Linked DNA regions of Drosophila melanogaster. The protein of the gene in region 4 interacts with the protein of the main gene of each other region in a pairwise test. Each region holds a gene or a part of one and is shown on either strand. Other genes may lie near its edges.

Region 1 (4,461 bases), on a different chromosome or scaffold from region 4:
AGATCAATTTGCTCACTGGCAACGTTTTCCCCCTTTTCAGCCGGCAAAACGCACAACAAGCATCACTACATCAGCCGAAGCAGCTATCCAATGGGTGGCTACCTGAAGGTGACCCGGGAGCACTTCAATCGCCTCAGCGAACTGGACATCTTTCCGCGCTACAAGCCCATCAAGCCGCACCACGAAAAGAAGCATCGCTTCAAGAGGGATCACTCGAGCAGGTCCTACAACAACATTCCCTACTGCTGTCTAAACCAGTGCGAGGAGGAGTTCTTCTGCTAAGAGAGCTCCAGTGTCATGCTCCATGCCCCACGCTCCAAGTCGGTGCCATCTGGTCAGAATCTTCTGAATCCGTCCATAGTTATAGTTAGGCTATTCATGTACATTCTACAAGTCGCGCTCACTCTTATAGAGTACCTTATTTGTGCCCACTCCCAGGGACACAGATCCATTTACAGTATTTATACACTTAGATCGATTTTGAATAAACAATCGAATACGGCAACTGATCGGAATTAAAGTGTTTTTTATAAAAATTGGTGGACAGTTAAAACTAAACAAACATTCAGAGAATTTAACAGCATATTAGGTTTAGAAGACGCATATAAAGGCTTAAAAGATTATTACAATCCTAGTACAAATGAGTCACGATGGCTAACAAATCTTTGTTGTATCACAATCTATTAATCACTAAATCACTTAATAAACCGACAGCTCGAACCATGGAATCAGCTTATATGGAACTAATATAGTAGGCGCCTTTGCAAACGTTGCATTTGTACTTGCGGCAGTTTTGTTCGCCAACTGGCTCCAGTGATCGAAAGTACTTGGATACCACCATCAAAATATCCTCACGTTGTCTCTGAAGGAAATCTTCGCCGAAGTCATCAAAGGTTTTAACGCAATGCATTAGAATGCGATAGAGGACCGCTTCAGTTGATACGAACGTATTCAGCGAGCGATCAATGTAATCCACGTTCTCCTCTACGAATGTGCGGGTCATCTGCATTAGAAGCTGTACAGCCTGATCGCTGAAGTATCTGGCCATGGCCTCCAAAACGTCCGTAAAGCTAGCCAGATTGCCGATATGCTCAACGAATTTTCCGCCGAACTTCTGTGCGAGCATGTCCATATTGATCACCATCTGCCCGCCAATGCCGTAACTCAGTATTTGGGGCAATAAAGTGGTGGCCACTGTAAGTCCCTGACTTAGGTGTGAGTTCATATTGTGAAGACTGAGGAGTACCTCCTTAAAAGGGATTTCGTTGAGGGTTCTCACAATATCAAATTGACCAGATTCATTGTGCAGCTTAACTGTTTCCTGGGAGATTCGATCAAAGATTTTTCTGTTGATACAAAAATGATGAAGAATACTATATATGTGACTGCCAGGAGGTATTGACTTGCCTGGATTGATTTCGAAGTGCTCGCCTCAAGGAAGACCCGTTGGTAGCCTTGGAAGCGATGCGCATATTGTTGATGGAATGAGTGAATATCACAAGGTGCGAGGCCATCTTCAGCATGTCCAAGCTGTTTATGGCTTGGTCATCTCCATGTTTCTGAGGAGGTCGAAACGAAGTTATAAAATTAATGTCTTTTTTAAAGGATCCAACTTACCGAATATAAATCGTAAACACCATTCGCTACACCCGTTCCGGCGATGACCATTGAGGCACCATTTATCCCCCTAACGGCTAACTGCGCAGCGGGATTAACTTTGTAGCCAGCTCCTGCAGCGGTGGACAGAGCTTTTGTGGCCCCACTGGCTCCTAGACCCACAACGCCACCTGCTACGCCCAACCAAGAGCTGCGTGCCTCGGTATCCGTGATGCAGGTGGACTGTCCGTGCCGTCGACGATCGATAAGATGGGAGGCAGAGCGCAGGGTGCTGTAGACTCCGGTGGCCACGCCCACAGCGGTGGCGGCAATCGCGAGCGGAGCGCCCAGAGGCACAGCCAAAGCTGCAGCCGCCGGAACACTGGCCACCAAGCTACCAACAGTGGCGACTTTATCGCCAGCATTCAGAATTTTATACCTGGCACGTGCTGCTGGCGTTGGATGGACCATCAACTGGACGCCCGGCTCCTCGTCGCCGGTGAATGTGTAAATTCCTTGGCTAGGGGCGATCATCAAGCCCTTGGGCAAGGTGTTCCGGAAGACGAACTGCTCCCAATTGGCGTAGACCCGTGCATTTTCGTCCACAAAAATCATGCAACAAGCGGCGCTGTTCTCGCCCTTCAAACAGCGCCGTGTGCGAAAAACCGGGTGACAGGAGTAGTTGGTAGACTGCAGCGCCGATTCCGGGTCTGTATCCGGCGTGACTAGCACGTAAATTATGGCGGAGAGCAATGTGCCGTTGGTGTAACAGCGCTGCTGCCAAATATTCCGGAAAAGCTGCTCCCGCTTTCGTTGAATCGCCTTGCCATTGCGGGCGTCATCATCGCGAATGAGGTTCTCTATCTTTTGCTTTAGAACATCACCCTGATCCGGGGCTAGTCTGTGGGTATAAATATAGTTTAGCCAGGTACGATGATTTAAGTAATTGCATAACATACGAATCCCAAATAATTTCCGAACGCAGCCCACTGCTGAAGCCAAAATCCCTTTGCACTTCGTAGGTGGTGCGAGAATTTTTAGTATTTTCCGTTTTCTCCATATCCTAATTACTGCAGAATCTGGCACTTTTGATCTGCAGCCCAAGTTAAATATACTTACTTTAATTTAGAGACTGTATTTTAATGGGAAATCAATGTCGAAATGCTAATTTCGTTTCCATGACAATTCAACAAAGCTGGCGCCAAATTATCGAGAGCTAATCGATTAAGCTTCACGATATAAGTTTATCAATCGATACCGCGTAATTTTAAATGATACATTTTGACAATATTATTTTAAATCTCAAATCTATTAATGCCATAGAAATTCGGTTCAAAACTTTTTCAATCAATAGTAATTCTTTCAAGTAGTAATAGTTCTAAATTAAAACTTATTTCGCGATCCACAGTTTTCCTTGGTCTTTGATCCACTTGGTACCTAATAATTATTTTACTTAACTTTTAATTGCCATGTTTTACTGAACAAGTTTAATATTTTTGGACTATCAGTAAATTACTCTTTTAATGACCTTTACTGACCTCAGTAATTTAATATTTTAACCTCAAAAAATCTACTAGTGTCCCCGAAAAGTCCAATACCCAAGCAATAGTTGAATTTTAATATGGGATTTTTATTTAAATATACACTTAAGAGTTAGTTATACAAAAACATTGCTAAGGCCACGGTTAAGTCTAATTAGGTGTTGGGCAGGCAAAAAGGCCATTGGCAAGCGATTTTCGTGGTGAAAAATCATCAACAAGATTAGTTAACAACGAGTTAAAAGGTAAATAAAGTGAAATTAAATACATGTATTGCATTGAAGTTGTGAGTCTATCAGTTGGTTATCAGTTAAAACAGTGGTTTATCTTAACAAAATTCGAACAATTGAAACTGCCTGCCATTAAAATCGAGCAATAAATGGTACTAGGACCAGCCGCCGGTAAGTTTGTGGAAAAGCTCCTCGTTCAGGGTCTGGTTGGTGTCCTTGGATCGCATGGACATGAAAATGTAACCACCGATGAACTCGTGCACCACTTTACAGTCGGCTGAGTGGCAGGAGAAGACCACATTCTCGTCTTCAAACTGAATCATCATGCACTTTATGTTCCAGTTGACGTTCCACGCCTTCATGGTGTTATATCGCCAGGTCTTGATGTGATCTCCCGAACTCAGATCCATGCGCATAATGCGGTTGTGGGCCACGCCGAGCAGCTCCTCCTTCCGATGCCCGTCGAACTTAATGATGAACAGGCTTACTCCAAAGTCAGGTAACGAACGCCATGCCTGGATGTACTTCAGTTTTGAATCTAAAGCATTCAGCTCCCGAACGTTGGCATGTGCTTCGAGGATCCGCTGGACTGCCTTGTTCGACAACTTGCGGATGATCTTGGGCGACAGATAATCAACTGCTTCCACAGAGCGAGGATCGATGTTTACATGAACTCCGTGTGCGGGTCGCTGCATCTGCAGTAGCGAGAGTATGCTGTCCACTTCACTCTCGTACGAGCTATCCGCCAGGGATCTTCCCTTGGCCGCCAAACGACAAGCAGCCATCCACTTGGCGTACTGCTGCTCGTTCTCGCAGCGCACCCACACCTCACTGTTGATACCGTGGCCACCATCAGGAGAGACCTCCAGCCGGATAGCATACTTTCCCTGGGACAGGTTTACATCCGGAGTTACTTCGCAGCCCTTCAGGTTAATGCTTATGGCAGGCGCAACACGTCGCGAATCTTCGGCGTTCTTGAACAGATGCAAATGCAGATCCCGATAGGTGAAGTAGTAGCGCTTATAGCCGCGCAGCGTGAATCTTTGCGGCTTCAAGTAACGCAAATAGTCAGAGAGCTCTGGTATGCGTGTAATATT
Region 2 (4,789 bases), on a different chromosome or scaffold from region 4:
ACAAAGGTGCCGTGACCCAGCTCCGTTTGCGCATAGGTGCCCAGGACGCCGTCCATGTGCCAGGATCGATTGAGCCACTGGGCCTGCTGCTCCTCGGTTCCCTGGCTCAGCAAGGTGGTCATGAACATGGAGAAATGCACCCGAAGGGGGAAGCTCTGCTGGAAGAGGCCCGTGCCCAGGGATCCGGAGAGTAGCAGCCGAAAGTCCCTCAGCATATTCACACTAAGCTGAAGTTGTGGCTGCTTCTCCCGCTGCCATTGGCGCAGTTTGGCCAGGAAGCGTGTGGATCGGGCCACGGTCTGTTCGTAGCGCTCCTTGTATGACAGACAGCTCGGATGCACTGGCTCCGCGAAGTCGGGATCCTCATAGAAACGCCTTTCCAGGGCGCGGCGCTCCTCCAGCTGCCCAGAGCCACCCGCCCACCAGCGGGCAAAGTCCTCGCTGTCCAAGGTGGCCGCCGCCCGCTCTCTCTGCAGATCCGCATTCACAGACATGATCGCTCTATCTCTCCTTCCCGATCTCTCTTTTCCTAGAGTTTTACTTTTCTACGGGATTTCCCAACTTCTCTGCTCGAACGACTCGATTGCACTGAGAAGTTGGTGGCTGGAAGAAACAGTTCTGCAGCTCGAAACATGGCAGCCAGGTCACCAAAGGCGGGGATAGCAGGGGAATATGGTTGGTTATCAGTGATCCGAAATTAAAGATGAGTTGCCAATTAATATACCGGGATTCTTTATACATTTACCACATTATACTCATAAAGGATGCAGTGTATAAGCTATTTATGGATAACTTATACAGAAGAGGCGATCTGGAACCCCTTTGGATGGTCCATCCTGCCTACGCCTTTGGAGCCCCACCACTGCCTCTCTTTCGCGCTCTGCCCGCTGGTGCTCCAACCGCCGTTGTTGCTGCATTGGAGTCACTGAACTGAGAACTGAGCCACTCTCAAATTGCTTGAGCGCCTTAGGGTGGACCATATTCCGTATTTGTCGAAAGTTTCTCAAACTGCGTCTTTCTTACAAGATGCACTTATCATGTTTTAGATTTCGTATCCTAGGTTGTATATTTGGACGGAATTTGTTTCTTACTATTAACTCAAACGCTGATTTGTGTGTTGGTCCACCCTAGCCAAAAATGGCACAAAGTGCGTAAACATCTGATGAGCGGCATTATCTCCTAGTTTTTTAGTTCAAGTTTTTTTTACCGTAGATAAGAAAATCGTAAATATTTCTTGTTGTTTTTGTTTTGCAAAAACCCACAAAGCTCAACAAACAATTATTTCTTTTTCGTACAATAACATTTTTATTTCGTGGATTTCTTGTTATCAACATAACGTTTCTCAATTGGATGACGTTTAGAAAATCTAAGATAACCCTATGGGCCATTGTCAAATTGTTTATAAATAGAAACTAAAAGACATGGAAAGAGCGATTTTATTTATATAAATAAATAAATATATTATTATACATACGAGCTTCTGCAACCTGGATTTTAGGACAAATTCTCAATTTAAATTTCCCGCTCTTCAAGAATGCAACATAAAATATAAAAAAACACTGGCCATTTTAATAACTATAAAGAGTAATTATTATAATATTATTGATGTGCCAAAAATGCAACGTGAATTACAATTTATTTTACAAGAAAACATAAGTTTTGTAATAAAAAAAAGCTTAGGAGTACCCCTATTAAAAAGTTTTCAGCATAAAAGCTCGTCGAATGTGTGACCAATTGTCGGAGTAATTTAGTGGCGCCCGACGAATGGCCACACTGCCGGCCAGCTGATCGCCCGCGTGCAGATTTCTCGACTTTATTTTCCTTATTTGGCTGTTGTTGTTTTGGGCCGCCGGTACCGCTTAGCTTTCTGTCTTCCTCTCTCTCTGTCTTTCTCTCTCGCTCCCACCAACGGCACCGCCATGGGTAAGAACACGAAGCGCAACAAGAAGACAAAACAGCAGCAACAGCAGCCACAACAAAACGGAGTAACTGCATCCGCATCCGGCACAGCAGTCGAGGATTTTGAGGACCAGCAGGCGGCCAGTTCGTTGCCCAGTTTAAACGGCAAAAAGAGGAGCCAACTAAACAAGCTCGTCGAGGAACTGCTTGACTTGGTGGAAAAGCAACCGGCGAATCCCAACGAGGAATGGAAGCAGTACGGGCAGCTACAGGAGCTGCTCAAACAAATCATGATCCTGGAGGAGCCACTCAGCCAAGCAGTGTGTCCGCAGATCAGCGATTCCCCCGACGATCAGACCCGTCTGGCCAAAGTGGAGGCGTTCAGTGCGTGGGCCAAAGATGGCGGAGTTCACAGTGAGGGACTGGAGATAGCCATCTTTCCCGGCTACCAACTGGGTCTGCGGGCCACCCGACCGTTGGCCAAGGATGAGCTGGTGCTCAGCGTGCCCCGGAAGCTCATCTTATCCGAGGAAAACAACTCCGATTGCCGCCTATTTGGCAAAATGACGCAGGCCACCCACTTGAACCTGGCCTATGATCTGGTCATCGAGAAGATCCGTGGCGAGTTCAGCGAGTGGCGGCCCTACATTGATGTTCTGCCTGCCAAATACAACACCGTGCTATACTTTACCACCAAGCAGATGGAGCTCCTCCGGGGCACCGCTGCAGCCGCTCTGGCAATGCGTCAGTGTCGCGTCATCGCCAAGCAGTACGCCTTCCTCTACAAGTACGCCCACACCATGACTGAGCCGAGCACCGGGAACAGGAGCCATCCGGGCGAAAGAGGCCTCTTTTTCACGCAGCACGGACTCTGCTACAAGCTATACAGGTGAGTTTCGATTGAGATTTGGGATTGCAATAAAGGTGCTAAAGGTGCCTTAAAAAAATATCGCTACTTTTAAAGTTTGTTCTACTAAGTTTAAGAAGAAATATGATTCTGTGCTAAAAAGATGGCTTAAGGCCAAGTTTTCTGCTCTGAAGATCTTTTCAGTTGGCCTAGAAATAGAAATATTGTATACCTTTCCGGAATTCCATTTTTAAATCCTGCCCTCGTGTTGATCTTTCCCTAAGTGTGTTTTTCGGTTTAGTTTGGGCTTGTTTTTGCTGCAGAGAGGCCTCTGAATCTGCCAGTTGTCCCACTGGCCATAAATTACATGTTCACTTACAGCTGGTGCTGTTTGTTTTAAAGCGAGAGTAGATGCATATGGCCAGATTGCCCGACCATTGTTGACCTTCCCGTCTGGCATTGTGATCGCATTGTTTTGCCGAAGATCTACGATCTATTTACGGATCCGCTTCCACTTGCGACGGCTGGGTCATGGTGCACTGGGATGGGTCTGGTTGTGGTTGTGGTTCTGGTTCTCCACTCGCTTCTGTATTTATAGTGCCGCGATTTCGACACCAATCTTCGGTTGTGGTCGAAAACCCCAGCGAGTCATGCGGTTAGTCAAGTGCTTTCGAAATGCTTGAAATCTTTGCCACAATTTGTTCTACATTTTATTTCTCAAAAAAATCAAATTGAAACTTATTTACATACATATTTGAGCGTGCTTAAATATATAATTATATTTATATATATAAATATATATATATATATATATATACTGTCGCCAGATGTTCTACTGCCTAGTGAGAGGGGCGGGGGTGGTAACGAAAATCAAATCAAAAATAAAGTGCCTGCACTACGAAATAAATACAGGTGTTTCATCTATTTTCACTTCTTGGTTTTTGCAGTACATTTTGCGCATTTAAAATATTAGTGTTGTTGTTGTTGTTGCTGTTGGTATTGTTGTGCTAATGACCACGCCCACATAGCGCCCATTTATGCCTTGCCTTGATCTAAATTCAATTAAATTTTGGTATTTTAGTCAGTGCCAGAAAGAAGTTTGCTTCAGTTAAATCGTATCGAACACAGTTTTCTTCATTTTCTTTTGGTTTTTATTTATTTTGTTTTCGTAATTTCCTCATTAATATTTATTGTCCTCATAAATGGTTTTATTTTGCTTTCTCGAATTTCAATATTTATTCGATTTGGGCCTTTTTTTGGGAAAGTGTCTGAACACAACTGTACCTTGTTTGGCTAAGATCCTGTTCTGTTGTTCTGTATTTAAGTTAGTTTTCGTCTTTATCTCGTGCTAAGAAACCCATTTGAATGCCGTGTCCTATGATTTAGTTGATAGAGTCGCGTTAGTTGATGGATCATAATCGTACATTAGGTCTAGATAGTTGGAAACGATAGTTTGCCGAGCTTAGAGACTAGCAACAGTGCGCGCCATAAACGTAGGGCGGATTGAACTAGGTTTTGCGGTCTACAACGATACAAATGAATCAGAAAATAAATAAAGTAAAAATAAATAACATAAAGTGGACTATACAGTTTACATTCCAATCTGTCATGAAAATATTTAAAAATGAACACTATTCTTTTTAAACTGTATGTCTGCACAATCTTTTTGAACCTTTTCTTACAAAGCGCCTTATGGCCATGCCACGCACTGTCTAAATGTGTTTTCTAGGTTGGTTTTTTGTTAGTTTTACTTTCTCTCACAGAATGTTCCTCTAATCGAGTTCAAAAAAATTCCACCTCCTACCTGCTTAAACTAATTAATCGACTAACTTTTGCTCCTTCGCGTTAGAGTGTGTATGCTTGTGTGTGTTGGGGGGATGTCATTGTGTGTGTGTGTGTGTTAAGTGTACATTTATATAAAACTTGGCCTAAACAACGGTCTATTGTTACTAGAGGAGCCTACTGCCTATTGCCTAATTGTCGAAGGATTTGCGCAGTGTGTCGAATAGATATTCCTGCACCTCCGGCGAACTGGGATCCATT
Region 3 (3,835 bases), on a different chromosome or scaffold from region 4:
AATTAAGTTGTAAACTATAACACACATATGCTGAGAACTCAGCAGGTGAGAGGAAATAGCAAATTAGCTGGCGGCATTCTTGCGTTCGATGGTGCATAAAATATGCAAAACATTTGGATGTTATTAAGTTGCACTAACGCAACTGGAGCCTGACGGATCGCAATACCATTGGGAATTGATTTAGAGCCCCAATCCCCTAATGAACCAGTGCCACCCCCACTTGCACATGGTTTTCCGGCTTAGCCAGCACCAGCACACCAGGCTGATTTCATTTTCATCGGAATTTTGCACAATTGGCCAAGATTACTGTCAAATGAGCGAAACCCGTTTGAGGTCTTTCCTTGTTGGCCGCATAGAATCGTAACAGAAACTCGAAACTTGTTTTGCACGTACGAAAGTCGGTTGTGTAATGCCGCATTTAGTGGGCGTTCACCACCCGAGGTGTTTAGATAAATCTGCTGGAAATTAAATAAGCGGCCACTGGCCGAAAAACAAAAGACTGCAGGACACGAACTTGGTTTCCTTCATATATTGTTTTTACTCGATTATAGTACAAATTGCTCAGACGTCCCAAGGCCCAAATTAACATAGTTTCTAAATTAATTTTGATCATTTTTCAACATCATCGAAGTTTATTGACTTCTCTTTTCTTGGGAAGACTTAAATGGAAAGATTAAAGTTTAATGGGAAAGTCACAGAGAAAAAGGCCGACATTTCTTGAGTTTTTTCATATTTCAAAAATATGCAAATGATATTTTGAATATATTTTGTAATTTAAATCAGCAATACCCATTGGGCAGCAGCGATTAATTTTCTCTGTGTAGGATTATAAATTAATAACAAACAGTACGCATATAGGAAGTACGATACAATTGCTCTTAAACATATCACACGAGAGTTTGATGGAGTCAAGAAAAGAGTAGGGGTTCTAGTTGTGATAGGGAAAGTTGGAAAAGAAGAAAGAGGATCCCTACTAATGAAGAAGATGCATAATGTCTGAGTGGAGGACAGTGGGGCTTATACCTTGTTGAAGGAGTAGGTGAAGCCATCGGGCGTGCGGTTCAGGGACAGTTTGCCGGGTGGCGAAAAGCGGTGTGGGTTGGGGGTGGTGGTGGTGTAGTACGCCTGCTGGGGTTGCGGCTGCTGATACTGGGGTTGGGGCTGCTGATACTGAGGCTGGTACTGCTGCTGCGGCTGCACGGGCTGTGGGTTGTAGGCGGGCTGGGGAGCAGGACGGTACTGCGGCTGGGCAGCGGGCTGCTGGTAGCTCTGCTGGTTCTGTCCGAAAGAGGGATCGTTGTAGCGGGGATCGTAGGAACCATCATCTCCGTAGTCATTGCTGCGGAAACTGGCCTGCGGCTGGGGAGCGGGAGCCTGGTACTGCTGCGGCTGGTACTGCTGCTGTGGCTGATATCCCGCTGTGGGCACGGGCTGTGGTGGAGCAGGTGGTGCCTGGGGCAAGTGATCTCCAGAAGCTTGGAAACTATTTCGGAATAAAAACCAAATTAATACAAGTTCGGGTATTTGTTCTATAGAAAGTGCTTACCCATTTTTGCCAGCTGTGTACGAAATAGTACGCCTCTGGCCCGTGGGATCCAGATAGCTGTAGCTGCCATGACGTGTTCCATCCGCATCCGTCTCCTCCTTGAAGTTGATGCCATCCTCCTGCTCATAGGCAGCTCCGAACTTTCCATCTCCGGACAGATAACGCTGCTCACTGATGATGGCCGCCGTTTTGGGATCCTGGTGATAGTGCTGGCTGGAAGCCAGGGCCACCAAGGTGGTCAGTGCAAGCTGTCAAGAATTCAAAATTTATTGTACAATCAAGTATTTGTGTGCTGCCAATTCCTTAATCTGAGTCATTATCACTTAACGTATTATAAGGTAAGACTTTCACTATTTAATGTGTACTCTAGAATATCCTGGTTTGAATTGACACTTTTGTCCGTCAGTTTGATTACTTTTCTCTTAATAGCTTTTAAATTGTTCGAACAGCCTTGAATAAAACACAACTCACAAATCTGAACATTTTGGTGTGGGGAATATCCTTGTCAAGCGTAAACTGCACACAATTTTATCTTCTTCTCGAGGGGGATTCACACGCGCCTTTACGCTTACAAGTCGGTTAAGAGGGAAATGGGACCGACGGCAACGGATTTGTGGAGTTAACTGCCTTCCGCAACGGTGCCGCCCAAGCTTTTTATAGTCCGAGCGGGAACCTTGGATCGCTGGATCGCCGATCGACTCCGCCTAGGCACTCCAAGCTATGTAATTGTGTTGGTACTATTAACGTTAACGGCAACAACAAGTCGGCCAAGTCGGCGTAACAATAACAAGAATCGAGCTAAGTGCTCCAATAAGTCAACTTTGGGCGAGTATTGGTATCGCGGTCGTGTTGCCAAGTCGTTTTACCAGTTTCGATCTCTTTCGCTTGGAGCGCCAACTTTTGCTTTCTATATATACGAATATATGCTATATGCACTTAGTTCCACCGTTTCTGCCTGCACCAGGCCCAAGCCCAAGACGAAAATATTTTTTAATTATTTCAAAAGTTTTTCAGCTGTAATCCAGCCTCAGCGCAGAGGTATCCTCATCTGGGAGGGGATCTATCGAAACCAGGAATTACCAATTAGTTCTGCAGAGCATGATGCAATTTTAATGGCAATAGTTTAGTTTAAGAGTAGGAAAAAAGGAAAATGTATGGAAAATACAAATAAAACGGGATATAAAATAGATTGAATAATAGTATTGTATGCCAATAATGTTGGCCTAAGCTAAAAAACAGAAATAGAAAGTAACTACAACACCCTGTGGAAGAAATTGGCAAAAGCCTCGTCTTTATTGTCTTTTTGATTTTTCCAGTGTGAAAAGCCCGTGGAAACTGTCGATTGTGATGGATAACTGGGCGGTCGCCCTCTGCTGAAAATCCGAACATATCTTGGGAAATTCGCCAAATGAGCGTTGTTAACTTTTCACTCCCCTCTTCAAGTTGTAAAGTTGTAAAGCCGTTTGTTTGCCTTTTAGCTGGATTTGCGTTCTGCATGTGCATGGCCAAGTTGATTTATATCTAGATCGGACTGAAAAGCTGGACTTTGTGGTGTGGCCAAAAGCGCTTGGCAACAATCGCCAGTGTTACCGCAATGTGTTTGACTTGTTGACTCTGCGCTGGCTTCAATTATTTATTGTGTTTGAAATGTCTGGCATTGTTTGGGCTTGTTTATGGCCAAAGCAGTTGGCCGCCCACCCACATGCCACACGCCCACTCCCACGCCCCCCACTTTGCGTAATGTTTGCAGAGAACTTTTGGCATTATTTATGATCTAACAATGCAAACAGGTCTGCATCTCCAACTTTGGTTATTTGAAGTTTTATATCTAGAGTCAAATTAACATTACATTATCTATATCGATATTCATTTTAATTTTAAAGAATTTTTCTTAAGCCCTAAAATTGAACGTAAAGAGAATTAGAGCATTTATGTATGCAAATCGGGTTTTCATATTTTAATGAGCGATTTCCACACAGCGGCACACTCTTGCACACAAAGTAGCCGCATGGGGTCGAAGATTTCGAGTAGCAACACTCTCATTTACACCGTTATTTGCCCTTTTGCAAGTCGCCATCGTCTGAACATCGCCATCATCATTACCATCGTCATTATCCGGCGGTCTTGTTTGTGTGGCCAAAAGCGGAGAACGCCCTCTCGCAGCAGGAGGCGGTGATCAGAGCAGAAAGCGGTAAAAGGAGGAGGAAATTAAATCAGTTGACAAACAACAACAGGAAACTGCAGCTATGGCATATAGTTCCGGAATATATACTTGATGTGCGAACGCCA
Region 4 (4,716 bases):
AAATGTTTGAAATTATTAAACGAAATGTAAATTTCACGCAACGCAGAAAAATGAAAAAACAAAAACTTTCATTTCTCGCTGCTTTCCAAATGAGGTAAGTGGCTGTTTAGCTGGTGGAGGTGGCTTTTTGGTTTTGGTTTGGTATTGGCGGCACCTGCTCAGCAAACCAAAACATGCCGCAAGCATTTAGCTTGCGTAATCCCAAGAATTTATGCTCGAGCATTTGAAAGCGAAAGTATTTCTCCCTCGACATTTTGGTATGCGGGGGCGCTGTGGTTGCGCAACTCGTAATAAAAGCCGGATAACCGGATACAAGCGAAATTAGTGCCTTAAATATCACTTATCACCTGGGACATCGCAAATCGAATTGCGCAAATGATGGGCCAAGCTAATTACAAAACTATTGCCACAGTCGTCGTCGCCACTGAGCCGCAGAAAAGTGTCCCAAAACAATGTGACAATTGCAACAGAGCAATACTTAAGGTAGCTGCTAGTAGCTACTCTATATATATGAAAAACCATAAAGCAAGCGCTGACAAAACAAAGCAGCCGCCAAATGGAGCAGCTGAAGAAAGCAAGAGTGGCTCGGCAAATGTATAGCCACAAGTACCCGTACTTGTTGGCCACGTCTCGAGTGTGGGCCTCATTCTGGCCCAGACCAAACCAGACTTGTGCAACTCGGCAACTTGGCGAGGGTATCCACATAAACCGCCTGCCGCAGATAGATATATATACATATATACAGATATATATGTGCCCAGATGAACATTAGCAATCAATCCACATCCGTGACCAAGACACGGAGTGTGAGAAAAAATTCAGTAGGCCAAGATACTTCAACTTGTCGGTCTAGAAGGAAAACACAGAGACAAAACGGAGCAAAAAGCCCCAAATGGTTGCCTTGCTCTACCAGCCGGGTGCTGACTAATCAACTGTGTGGGTATTCCAGGGGTGCCGAAGGAGGATCAGGGGGTCTTACGGAGGCCGTACATGCAACTGCAAATCACGATTTAGTTCCAGCGAACCAGCAATAAATGCCCGGCCTGGAAGCCATTTGAATTGATTTTTTAGTTTTTACCTCCGCTTAAATGCACTTTGAATCTGATATTGCTGAATGCATTGCAATTACTCACATTTAGAATTCAGTGCGTGTCACTAGTGCGAGATAATTATGGTTTTGAAAGACCGCTGGGCATATTCGATATTGATCTTTGAAATTGAAATTCTCTTTGGTATGGCTAAATCATCTGGGATAATTTAAGTTGTAATATAAACAAAGGTATGGTTGCATTGATTTCTCAATTCGTGAGTAATCAACACCAAAACTTGTGCGCATTAGGATCTGCAACGCATTCCATCGAACAAAGCCAACTAATGAAGCAAGTTTGTGTCTTAAGTCTTTTGTTTGGCCCGCTGAGAAAGTCGTAATCCGGGCTCAACGCTTGACAAATTGAACATTATGCGGTTGAGTAATTGAAAGCCGTGAAAGACGAAGACCACACGGGTAGGATCGCTGGGCACGTGCTAAGTGACGAGTGATGGAAGCTTCTGCAGCTACGCAAAGTCATTCGCACGTTTCACTTTCATCGGAGGAAGGTGAGGGAGGGGTAGGAATATGAATTGGCGGCGGAGGAGGCTAGTGGCAAATAAACACATCAGGCGCCACATTAAGACATGACAATAAAGAAAAAGTGAGTCTGAGCAGTATTATATTTTCTTGACACTTTCGCGAGTTTTGTTTCGCCACTTCCCCCCTCACCACTCCGCTGCCAACCCATCCCTCTTTTATATCGGCTGGCATTGGCCGATGCGGCGGCTACGTGATTTCAGCCCGTTGCCAAAGGCTACGATATGGACTTTGCTGGACGTGCGACAGGCAATTGGCCGGCCGGCGGCCATCGCCTGCGTTTATTGTAATTAGAAAGTATTTAATTTCGAAAACGCTGTCCGCTCGCACATAAAAAAAAAAACAAAGTTCGCATAAATATAAATAAAGAAATACATATATAAAACGAATAAGACGCTACGGCGTAATTTATGATTTCCCTCTTCTGTTTGCCCTCATGTTAAAATGACAAACAAACGAATAAGTGTACACATTAGTTCCGTTAAAGATCAGATGCCACATCGAAGATTAGGGAAGAGAAATGTCTGGCCCTCGGAAGTGGGGTCTGTATGCAAATTGGCCTGATAAACAAGATTTTTCTTGTACGAAACATAAAATTTCTCCAGGTGAAAATTGGGTTAATGAAGTGGCAATGGAGATAGACTTAGAGATGTAGATGAAAAACCCAAAACGAACCCACAGAATACTGATGGACCAGTTTCTTTTCTTTTGGTCAGGGGTCTGGCCACCTTATCTTTTAACGAGGAAGTCTGCCCATAAAGCTTGACTCAACTTGACTCTCTAGAGGATGGACGGTTGTTTTGGTTAGATGTATGGTCCATAAGTCTTTGGGCAAACAAATTGCATGCCAGTTAACGAGTGTCGGTGGGCAAAAACAAAATGAAATTTCCAAATAATTAGAGCATGAAAAAATAAACAGCAAAATTGCCAAGACAGTCGAATGCGTTGAGTGTGTGGTTAGTTGAATGGAGAGCTGAAATTTCTATTCGCCTTTTTTGGCAAAAAAAAAAAAAAAATAAAATAAATAAAAAATAAAAACCCCACTTACCACTCTCCTCTATTGCTTCTTCTTCTTCTTCCTGAACGGCAGCTGTTGTTTCTCTTTCACTTGGCTTAATTTAATTAAGATCCTAACTTGCCCAACTCGCCAAATTAGCAGCAATTCAAGCGTTTTACTTTTATTTTTGTATATTAATTATATTTTCGATTTCTTGAAATTCACTTTGACTTTATCCACTTGAGACGTCAGGAAGCTCACGCACTTTCGGCAAAAGATGCAAAATCAAATGTCGTTGGTACCACTGTGCGTATACTCGATGCGTATGAGTGTTACACTTACAAATCAAGTTATTACTATCTTGCGTTAACAGTTAGCCGGAGCTGGTTTTTAGACGCGTCTGCATCGTTGGCGTGCCGTTAACAGACTGAAGAAATGAAAAGCGTCGCGGGCCAAAGTAAGTAAGAGTGGTTCGCTCGTGGTTTTCATCCAACTGCCTCCGTCGAAGTCGACGCTGGCCGAGCAGTTAGCAGATCAGTAGGCAGCGCAGTCGCAGTCAGCGTTAACGGCGCAACTAAAGCGGCTTTAACAGCTTTTGGGCCAACAAAAGACTTGGTCAAACAGAGCGGTATAGCTCCTAGCTAAAAATGATCCTCCAATGATTTGTTGTGGTTAATTGAAATTAACAAAACGGGGATGGGGATAGAGTTTTGCCAAGGGGGAGTGTCCACAAGAATGCACTAAATGCAAATCAAGTCGGCCATAAATGCTAACTTGTTTTAGCGTTAGTTGCGGCGATGCTGTTCCAGTTTTGCAATCTTTGCTGGCGACAAGTTTTTACCACATTTGCTGGGAAAATCGATCCGACTGTGTGGGGGTCTTATGAATCGTGCTACACCCCTCGCTGATATATGTGATATATGTGTATATGTGCGGCTATATGGCCAGACATAACAACAATTCCATAATTCTGACTCAGTGCCATGTGGCATTCGAGCCGTGCATCTAGCTTTTAATTGGCTTTTTAGGCTTTGCTCTGCAGCCAAGGTCGTTTTCTTGCTACACAAATTCCATTATGAGTTTAATTGAATTGTTTGTTTTGGTTTTTTTTTCTTCTCTCGTACGCGTTTCCTCGTATTTTTGTTTGTTTTGTTAGGAAACCTATAAACCGATTGACATTTAGCAATTAAAACGCGTAGAAACCATTTTTTCTTCGCTGGCCTTTGCCGCATTTCTTTTGTTACAAATTGGTTACAAACTTTATAAAACCTATAATAACAAAAAGTGCGAAATTGGGATTAAATATGTGGTTGAAATGTTTGCAATCAAGTAGCGCAGGTAGAAATAAATATTTAAATCTTTTTATAATATTTTCCAGATAATATTTTGGTGTTTAAAATACATTTTTGTGCTCAGCTTGTTGCCAAATATTTCTTTGGTCTGCTAGAATTGGCCTTAAAAAGAGGTCTTTTTCAACTTCTTTTGGGGCAATTAAAATATTCTCATGCCGGCAGCCGCACAATTTCCGTTAAGCAAACAATTGTCTAAGTGAGACGTTTATGGATCGTGGAAATCAAGTTAATTAGCATATCGTTCAGCGTCCGCCATTATCCATTATGCATTGGGTAACCCAAACGAGATGCTCGGACGCTTTTCAATCGCATTTTTTTTTCAATTTCAATTTTCCAGCGGCAATTGCGACGGGCGATGAGTGCATTGACAGGAGCAGCAACATCGTCGCCGCAAATCCAATCAGTCAACTTGTCATAACGCCTGCCCACCTGTCTGTCCGTGTGCCTCACCTGCCGCCTCAGGTGGGCGTGAGTTATGTGCGGACTGATGACGTACGAGGAAGGTTTCCACCTCATGGCCTAAGTTATGTGACGGGATCTCTTGGCGTTCGGAGATCATTCAACCGCGACTCGCGTCTTGAACTTCCGCTGAATGTTATTTAGTTGGCTTGCAACTCTGTTTCTAGAACAAAGCACTTTCACCTGCCTCGCAGATAGAGAATCAAATTCAATCGAATTCAATTGGCAGCCAATGGTTGGGGGACGGCAATTAGCGTTGACCTTTTCACAGGTGTCTCACT

Evidence for each region.
Region 1: the proteins of CG15080 (region 4) and CG7730 interact in a two-hybrid assay, tested with the Drosophila melanogaster proteins (one large-scale study listed by BioGRID).
Region 2: the proteins of CG15080 (region 4) and Setd3 interact in a two-hybrid assay, tested with the Drosophila melanogaster proteins (one large-scale study listed by BioGRID).
Region 3: the proteins of CG15080 (region 4) and Cpr100A interact in a two-hybrid assay, tested with the Drosophila melanogaster proteins (one large-scale study listed by BioGRID).

The regions. Positions count from the first base shown.
Region 1 is NT_037436.4:17,025,864-17,030,324, reverse strand, and holds CG7730 (uncharacterized protein), read right to left. Parts: upstream 2,811-4,461; 5' UTR 2,657-2,810; coding exon 2,556-2,656; intron 2,498-2,555; coding exon 1,618-2,497; intron 1,560-1,617; coding exon 1,408-1,559; intron 1,347-1,407; coding exon 734-1,346; 3' UTR 511-733; downstream 1-510. Other genes in the region: Ilp8 (Insulin-like peptide 8), read left to right, coding at 41-282; Fit2 (fermitin 2), read right to left, coding at 3,520-4,461.
Region 2 is NC_004354.4:6,965,723-6,970,511, reverse strand, and holds the start of Setd3 (SET domain containing 3), read left to right. Parts: upstream 1-1,761; 5' UTR 1,762-1,919; coding exon 1,920-2,788; exon of another isoform or gene 2,789-4,719; coding exon of another isoform or gene 4,720-4,789. Other genes in the region: CG4586 (uncharacterized protein), read right to left, coding at 1-494; CG14431 (uncharacterized protein), read right to left, coding at 4,720-4,789. UniProt on the Drosophila melanogaster protein: Protein-histidine N-methyltransferase that specifically mediates 3-methylhistidine (tele-methylhistidine) methylation of actin at 'His-74'.
Region 3 is NT_033777.3:30,865,866-30,869,700, reverse strand, and holds Cpr100A (cuticular protein 100A), read right to left. Parts: upstream 2,181-3,835; 5' UTR 2,030-2,180; coding exon 2,018-2,029; intron 1,795-2,017; coding exon 1,547-1,794; intron 1,484-1,546; coding exon 1,018-1,483; 3' UTR 517-1,017; downstream 1-516.
Region 4 is NT_033778.4:18,781,638-18,786,353, reverse strand, and holds the start of CG15080 (uncharacterized protein), read right to left. Parts: upstream 3,056-4,716; 5' UTR 2,676-3,055; intron 1-2,675.